Coturnix japonica: one gene and its partner. The protein of the gene in region 2 purifies or fractionates together with the protein of the main gene of each other region. This does not show direct contact. Links are inferred from orthologs where the notes say so. Each region holds a gene or a part of one and is shown on either strand. Other genes may lie near its edges.

The links. Proteins that work in one complex are often made in the same cells at the same time.
Region 1: the proteins of NFX1 (region 2) and LARP1 purify together in Homo sapiens (affinity purification with mass spectrometry, with the first as the bait; 3 studies listed by BioGRID). This does not show direct contact. The link is inferred for Coturnix japonica from reciprocal best matches to the Homo sapiens genes NFX1 and LARP1.

Annotation. Positions count from the first base shown.
Region 1 is NC_029528.1:5,968,885-5,972,533, reverse strand, and holds part of LARP1 (la-related protein 1), read right to left. Parts: intron 1,554-3,649; coding exon 1,492-1,553; intron 408-1,491; coding exon 342-407; intron 1-341. UniProt on the Homo sapiens protein: RNA-binding protein that regulates the translation of specific target mRNA species downstream of the mTORC1 complex, in function of growth signals and nutrient availability.
Region 2 is NC_029517.1:73,003,557-73,007,973, reverse strand, and holds the start of NFX1 (transcriptional repressor NF-X1), read left to right. Parts: upstream 1-1,487; 5' UTR 1,488-1,590; coding exon 1,591-1,615; intron 1,616-2,123; exon of another isoform or gene 2,124-2,144; coding exon of another isoform or gene 2,145-2,166; intron 2,167-4,417. UniProt on the Homo sapiens protein: Binds to the X-box motif of MHC class II genes and represses their expression. May play an important role in regulating the duration of an inflammatory response by limiting the period in which MHC class II molecules are induced by interferon-gamma.

The DNA.
Region 1 (3,649 bases), on a different chromosome or scaffold from region 2:
AGACCAGGCTCCAGGCTCCCAGAATAGCATGCAGGGAGGGAGCCCAATGTGCATAGCAGCCCTAAAAGGCAAACCCCTGCACCCTGCATGCTATTCTTGGCTGCCCTCACGCTGGCACTCAGCACCCCAAATGGCCTGGCTCAGCCATAGCTTCCAGTGACACAGAAGAACAGGGAGGTCTGCAAGGGCCTGCTCACCCAAGCTAGCCCCTAAGGCTGTTACCTAGGAGCAACAGAGCACGCAATTGTCTGCCAACCACACAGCCTCACTGGGCACACTACAGCGGAAGCAAATTACTGCAGCTCAACCAGATGCAGTGTCTGAGGATTTTGTCTACTCACCTGGACACTCTTGTGGGCTATTTCTCCTGGTGTTGGCCAATTTGTAGCATCACCAAAGTCACCAACCTTGTATACAAAGAGAAAAGTCCCATTAGTGCACAAATTATGGTTGCCATTTTCTGGATCAGCAGACAGAAGCCCTCCCAGCTACACTGTCACTGCCATTATCCTATGTGGTGGTGATACAAGCTCTGTTCCAGAAATCCCGCTGCCACATGGGAAGACCACCAACCTCTTCCACTCAAGAAGTGACCTGACCACTATAATCATTTCCATCTCCTCCAGCTTTCAGAGCAGGCATGCAAGGAAAGAACCCAAAAACCAGCTGCTTGGGCATAAAATGAATCATGTTTGGTGAATGAATTTACAATGTTACAGAAGCTCCTCCTTACCCTTGAGGGGACTATTATTCCTAAGTTAATTTGTAGCCACCAAGTTGCCCATAAGATCAGGTCTCTACACTCAGGTGCCACGCTTCTCTCCCTAGCAGGCAAATTTCCAGGGAAAGCCACTTGCAGTGTACAGCCATGTCTGTTTCACAGACAGAAGCACCTTCCATACCCAAAACCCTCCCCTCCTTGAAATGGAACAGACAAGGAAGTCATATCATGTTTCAAATGTGTTTTCAGAGGCTGCTGGGAGCCAACACCAATAACCACACTCCTAGCTGTGCTCCAGCTGCATCCAACATTTTCAGAAACAACTGTCTCTCCACCACAGTTAGATTCCCTGGAACAGATTGCCCTGGTGTTCCTGAGAAGTTGCTTTGTATGAAGTCAATTACCCTTGCTCTCTGTGTACTAGTAAAGAACAGTAAGGAGAGGGAAGAAAGAAACGTGCAGATACAAGCATTCAACATCCAGCACTATCTTGTGAATGACCCCTTCAGGCAGGGAGATGAACCAGGTCTCCCCCAGCCCAACTGGGCAGGAACCAGCCCCCAGAGCATGAAAACGTCAAAATGCTTGAAAGAAAAATGAGGACGTTCCTGCATGCTCTTTGCTGACAGCCAGTTCAGTACATCAATCCCTCCACCATCAGACTTGCAAAGGAAGCTGTCTCCTCAGCAGACCCTCAAGGCACTAACACTGCACTGATATCTGAATCAGAAGCTAGAGGCCAGTGAGGGACACAGCAGGCATGGACTTACCTTGCTTCCCTTCCGCTGTCTTGGGTTGGCAGCCCTCACCACTTTAGCAGGAGTTGTGTTTTCTGCAAAAGGAGGAGAATAAAACTGTTATATCCAGCTGATAGCTGGGGAAGCAGAAAGCAAGCCACCTCCCCATTCATGACAGCAAGCCTACAAGGGAAAGGTGAGCAGAAGAGAGCCAGCTTTGGACCTGGGTTTCACAGAGGCCCATCAAGATTAAGTGGAGGCACACTGAACAGAGAGCCCTAATGCAGCACTGTGTGCAGATATGGGGTGAAGCCACATACTTAAACCTGCCACTCTGGATTAATACAGGTGACTGATGCCCCAAGAAGACGGGTCCTGAACTCTGTCCCTCCGCATGAAGGCACCTAGCTCAGCCCTCCGCTCTTGGCCTTGCCAGTCAAGGAGGAAGGGTGGAGAAGAGTTCAGCTTGCTCCATGAGGCACCGCACAGAACTCAATCTGCTGTTACTCACAGCAAAACAAACATGCCCTTGAAGAGGTGAGGCAGCTCCCCATGCTGACACAGCCAGCTCCATACTGAAGAGGGCTGTGGACATGTACCCACGTGGCCCAGCCGGCAGCACATGGACACTGCTCATCTCGTGCCTTGCTTTGATCTCTGGTGCATCCCAACAAGGGGCAGCAAGTTCACAAGAAGGAACACACAGAGATGGAGCCAGATCTAGGAAGGGCTTAAACCCCACTGCAGCCAAGAGTATTTAAATAACTGAGTGCTTCTGAGGGTAATTTAAGGTTCAATACCTTGAGCCCTGCCTGGAAAAAGCTGTCAAAACTGACCCTGCCAGAAAAGCAACACTTGGTCAGGCTGCTGCACCGGTCCTGAGGCTGGAACAAGGTTCAGCCTCTGCAGCCTTGCAAGATTTTGGTGCAGGGCTTTAATACCTGCCTTGCAGGGCACGCTGGCTGCTGTAGGCTCTACAGTTCAGTAGAACTGCTGTGCATTGCCAAGCAGCCGTGCTGGGCTCACCACTGAGGCAGCCCCTCCAGCACTAACCCCACTTCCAACTTTGCTGGAAACAAAACCTTCCACACTGGGGTAGGAAGGAAGGTGAAGAGAAGAGCCCCAAGGAATTGCATGGGCTGCGTGGGGACACCCTGGGAACCACCATGAATAGCCTACCTAACTCCATTCAAAGTTGGCTTTGATCTGCTGCAGAAGACAGGTTGACTTTGCCTAGATGATCAAAACCGGTACCCCTCCTTGCCTCAAAACTTATGATTCATCCTGCTGGCCCAGCCTTGCTCTGAGCTGGAGACTTTGAAGTGTCAATAAAGCAGAGCCAGACATGGCAGAATGGAGCCATCTGCACTCCCCCACCCCAGCTCCCTTTCATAAGGCTCCCACGTGGGGATTTCACCCCAGGGAGAGCCCAAACTCTCAGCCATGCCCCCAGATCCTTCCCCTTTTCCCCCGGGAGTTTCTCAGCCTGCCTGCACTGCTCCAACCACCAAACAGTGGCAATCCCACATGTCTTATTCATTCCACGTGCATCTCATTGAGAATCCTGGCTCCACAGCACAAAGCTTGCCACAAGGCTTTTAAACTTCCCTTCCTTAAAGCAGCGTAGGAAGAAAGAGCGCTTTCAAAACAGTCCCTAAAAATCTTCCACTCAACACCCACAGGTGTCACCAACTAAATATAGCTTCCAAATGCTACAGCACAAGCCTGCAGCCAGCCCGGTTTTCACAGGTAGGGAGCACCAGCCTGCTCTGACAGCACCAACATACCTGGCACTGCTGAAAAAAAACCATAGCAGAGCTCACTTGGCAGCCTGGCTGTGCACAGATCACTTGGCTGGAGCAGAGCAGGGCTCCTGGTCCCAGTGCACAGGCCCCAGCTGGTTGCCTGCTCCCAGCCTGCTGCAGCTCAAAGGTGACAGAGATGGCATCCTGCTCTTTACAGCTGCTCTGCAGAGCATCAGAGGAAGAGAAGCTTTTGTGCACTTTTGGGAGAGGGTAAATAAAGGGAGGCCCTCTGCACCTCCCCAGGCAACAGGAGGGCAGTGCAGGGGTGCCAGAGGAGGAGTGGGTGCTGCAGCCTCTATCATCTTTATGGGTGAAGGAGTAGATGATTTAAAACAAGTTCTGCTAGTTTCCTTATCGGCAAGATAGGAACAGGGATCCCTTATCTA
Region 2 (4,417 bases):
GATGTAATCAAGGAAAATGTGTGTTGACTTAGTAACTGACATTTTGCAGCAGCACACATAGGTGCAAATTATTGTATCCATACCACAACTGTACTTTTTGATGGTAACCAAAGAATGTATGCTGAAGTGGTAGTGCTGTAGCATGTATGGAAAGTGGTATGTAGTAGTTCTGTGTGAATGCTACGGTGATGTCTGTATAGTAGTGACAGAGAAGAACATGAGTCAGAGGTCTACCTCAAGTTTCTTGTCAGCAGTAGGAAGACCATGCATTATCCCTGAAAGGATGCATTAAACCTGCTGCTGCCGTATGCTCTTCTTTGCCAGCTTAGGTGAGACAAATACTTACATAAAACAAAACACTTCATATTGTATTCGTAATCCAAGCACATAGTAGCATCTTCATAAAGCTGTTGCTGTAGTGACTTGTGTGCTTCCTTTGTAGCAGTGGCAGGAGTCTGGGCTGCATATCAGTGACTAGAGTTTCTGCAAAAGAAGACCACATGTCCTTTAAGAGCTTTGGAGCCATGAACTTTGAAGACTAGGATGGGAAGAACTATTCTGCAAATGGAACTTTGATCTGAGAATTTCATGGTAGGGCTGCAGAGAACGGAATGCAGACTATACCTCAGACGACATTCCTCAGAGGGAATGCAGGCTATACCTCAGACGATGTTCCTCAGAGGTGCCATTTTTCTGAGCTGCAGTTGCTATGGTACTCTGAAGTTACTCAGTATCTGAAAAGATCAGCAGCTCTGTAAGGACTCGGTAGCTAGCTACATTGCAGTGGTAAAAGTATAGAGCTGCTCTGCAGACGTACTGTAACCATGACACTGTAAACCTCTGCAGGGAGGTGTGAATCATACAATAGTTATCTTCGTGTTGAACACTGCAATATGACAAAACACGTAGTTCTACGGGGTAATTGTAGCTGGAGCATTACAAGGTCTGTCTGCAGCTTGGACTGTATTGTGAATATCCACTTGTAGGCTTTCCAACAGAAGCTCAAGTTCCAGCACTCGTTTGGGACAGCAAGTACATGCCACTGCCACCTCCATGCAGGACGCAGTAGACAGCTGGATGCTGTATGCCTACTTTATACTTTCTTTATAGGAAAAAAAAAACCAAAAAACAAAAAACCCCACCTCTTTAGGGCACCGAGCCCAAAGCAAAGGACCATTCTTTTCCTTCCCTTCTGCTTGACCAATACACTCTGAAACACAGACGGTACAGGGAAGGGCCACAGCTGTGAAGCTCATCGCCAAGCAAGCAGCCAATTTACCGCCAGCAGTAGCATTTCTTTGTTGTTATCACGTTTCCTTGCTTTCAACCTCAAAACTCCCGTTTTTCTGTTAATTACAGCCCGCTTTGCCCTGCGGACCTGAACGACCAGCCGACCCGGCCCTCGAACTCGCCCCCTGCCCGCCCCTCAGCCCTTGGCACCGCCCCCTTCCCGGCGGCTCGTGCCCGTCTCTTCAGTGCGGCTGCGCGTCCTCAGCTCCCCTCGGCCGAGGGGGAGTTGGCGGCGCTGGGGCGCGTGCGCGGCCGCCAGGAAGCTGGACCTCGGGGTGGGGGCGGGAGGGAAGCGTTGGCATGGCGGAGGCGCGGCCCAATACAGGTGAGTGCGGTTATTGCCTTCGGGGGAAGCCGGGGAGAGGGCTGGTGTGCTGAGCTGGACGGGGAAAGGAGGAACGCGCATCGCTCTGCGGTAACGTTGGTGGGCAGAGGGCAGAGCTGTGGTGCTGGCAGCCGAATGCCGGCAGTCTGGGGCGTCCGGGCTGAGGCACCACCTGTTGTTACGTGCCGCCCGCACCGCTGCGTTGTTGGGTCCGCAGTGCTGGAGGCGGCCGGGCTGTGCGTGTGCCGCAGGATGGGCTGGGGAAACTTTGGCCAGGAGGAAACATGTGAGTTTCAAGTATGTGACGAGCGAACGGGACTCAAAAAAATCAAAAGAAAGGAAAAAAAGAAGCCATTTGAATTCTGGAAAACTTACTGCTTCTCGGAGATCGCCATTATCCCCCCTTCGCGCCCCGTGCTTGCTATACTCTGCAGAGGGCGGTGCTACTGACCCGCTCCTGTTGCACAGGCATTTATAAGATTGTGGTGTTCGGTGTGTTTCCGTGTAGAGCCTTGCAAGGGTTGAAGAGATGACTAAGGTGCGTGCTGCTGGTGAGTACTCGTTCTCTCCAGTGCCCTACGGGTGACAAAACAGAGCACGTGGAGGGGGGGAGGGGAGGGTTAGGAACCCAACCTGGGGTGGGATTGAATGCCACAAGTAGAAGAAATTGTTTGTTTCCGATGGTGGTTTTTAAGGTGTAGGATCAGATTAACTTTTAATTTGCTGGATGTGGTTGCTGTGGAAGAGGATCGACCCTTCAAGATGCATATTCCAACCTAGTATTTAATGACCCATAGCGTGTTATGGGCACTTAGTACTACAAGAATTCTTATACAGTTGTGTCTTGGGTATTTAAATAGAAACTCTGTGTGCCTGGAGACATTCATGGTATTTACTGCTTTCATCACATCTTCTGTTTCTCTTGTTCTGAATAGACTTTCCAGTTAATCAGCATGGCTTGGGGCTCGCTTGATGAGCTCACTCCTCTCATTGTTAATGTAGCTGTTAAATTTTTGTCAAGTACAGAGTGCTGGACTTGAATGGCCGGGGATGAAGAAGAAAATACAAGTCTCTGCTTTTACAGCACCCTGAAGTTAAATCAGATTTAGAATATCGTTACTTTACATTTCAGATACTATCTTTAGTCTTTTCTGTTCTTAGCACCCGGGCTGTGAAGAGGGAAAAATAATCTGAGTTCATTTTTGATATTTTAAAAATGGGCCCATGGCCTTGTGGGAAGTGAAATAGCCTGTGATGTGGCTTGGAGTGTAGAGCTTGATAGATTCCATTTATGTATCTTTCCAGTTTCCAGCCCTGTGCATCTAGAAGGCATATCCCAGATTAGATGCTATAGTATTTAATGGTCATTATGGATTTCTTCCCCATGAGTAGCTGCTGTTGCTTTTGAATGTAGCTTAGTGCTTTTACCTTCACAATGGCAACTAGTTCTGTTTTCTCAACTGCCATGGTATTAAAATAAAGGTATCAGGAGGTGCTATAAAGTACTGAACATATTATAAAGGTGAACAGGAAGTGAAAATTCATTGCATTTAGACCTTAGGAAAAAATTATCCTGTAGTAGATACTCTTAGACTTGTGAGGTTGTATTTCTTATCCCTACTTAGTATTTCTCCTGTGTAGTCTTCAAATGGACTGGCCAAAACTTCCATCTTCCATTTAAAATGTGGATGCATTGAATTTGGATAAAAATGTAAAAAGACAAAAACATAGCAACATGCAACAACACTCTTTGGGTGCCAGTTGGCTGTCAAGCAGCTCCGCAGAGGGGAGTCTTAGAGACTTCTATAGACAATAAGCTGACTATGAGCCAGAAATGAAGACTTGCTGCAAAGATGACCAACAGTAACCCCAACTACCTTAGAAAGAATGTTGCCAGCAGATCTAGGAAGATGATCCTTTCTCTCTACTCAGCACCCATGAGGCAGTGTCTGGAATGCTGCGTTCAGCTGTGGGCTCCCTGTACAAGGAAGACGAAGGTTTACTGAAGACTCACATCCAACATAGGGCCATGAGCTGAAGGTATTTGAGCATTTTCATAAGAAGAGGGTCTGACAGAGCTGGGTCTGTTCAGTCTGGAGGAGAGAAGGCTTGCACAGAGGGAGTAAAGAATATGGATTCAAATTCTTCTGAGTATTATTGAGTGAAAGGCTAAGAAGTAACAGGTAAAAGCTGGTGTAAAATTTTGTCTGAGTACATGAAAAAGTCTTTTACTGTGTGGGTTATCAAACCCTAGAACACATTGCAGAGAGGCTGTGAAATATTTATTCTTGGGGACACTTGAATCATGATTGGGCAGTTTGAGAGGAGTGCTTGGGCTGTCGATGGTCTGGTGAGTTTCTTTCCAACCTCAACCATTTAGTAATTCTATGATAATGATATTTTGTGTGTTATTCTTTCTCAAATTTCTGTTAAGAATTGTGGGAAGGAAGCATATCTCATTATTAAATCACAGAATGGCCTGTGTTGAGAAGGACCACAATGATCATCAAGTTTCAACCCCCCTCTGCCATGGGCAGGGTTGCCAACCACTAGACCAGGCTGCCCAGAGCCACATCCAGCTTGGCCTTGAATGCCTCCAGGGACCGGGGCATCCACAACCTCTCTGGACAACCCTTTTCAGTGCATCACCACCCTCTGAGTGAAAAACTTCCTTCTAATATCTAACCTAAACCTCCCATGTCTCAGTTTAAAACCATTCCCCATTGTCTTGTCATTATCCACTCATGTAAGTAGCCGTTCCCCCTCCAGTTTGTACACTTCAAGTACTGGAAGGCCAGAAAT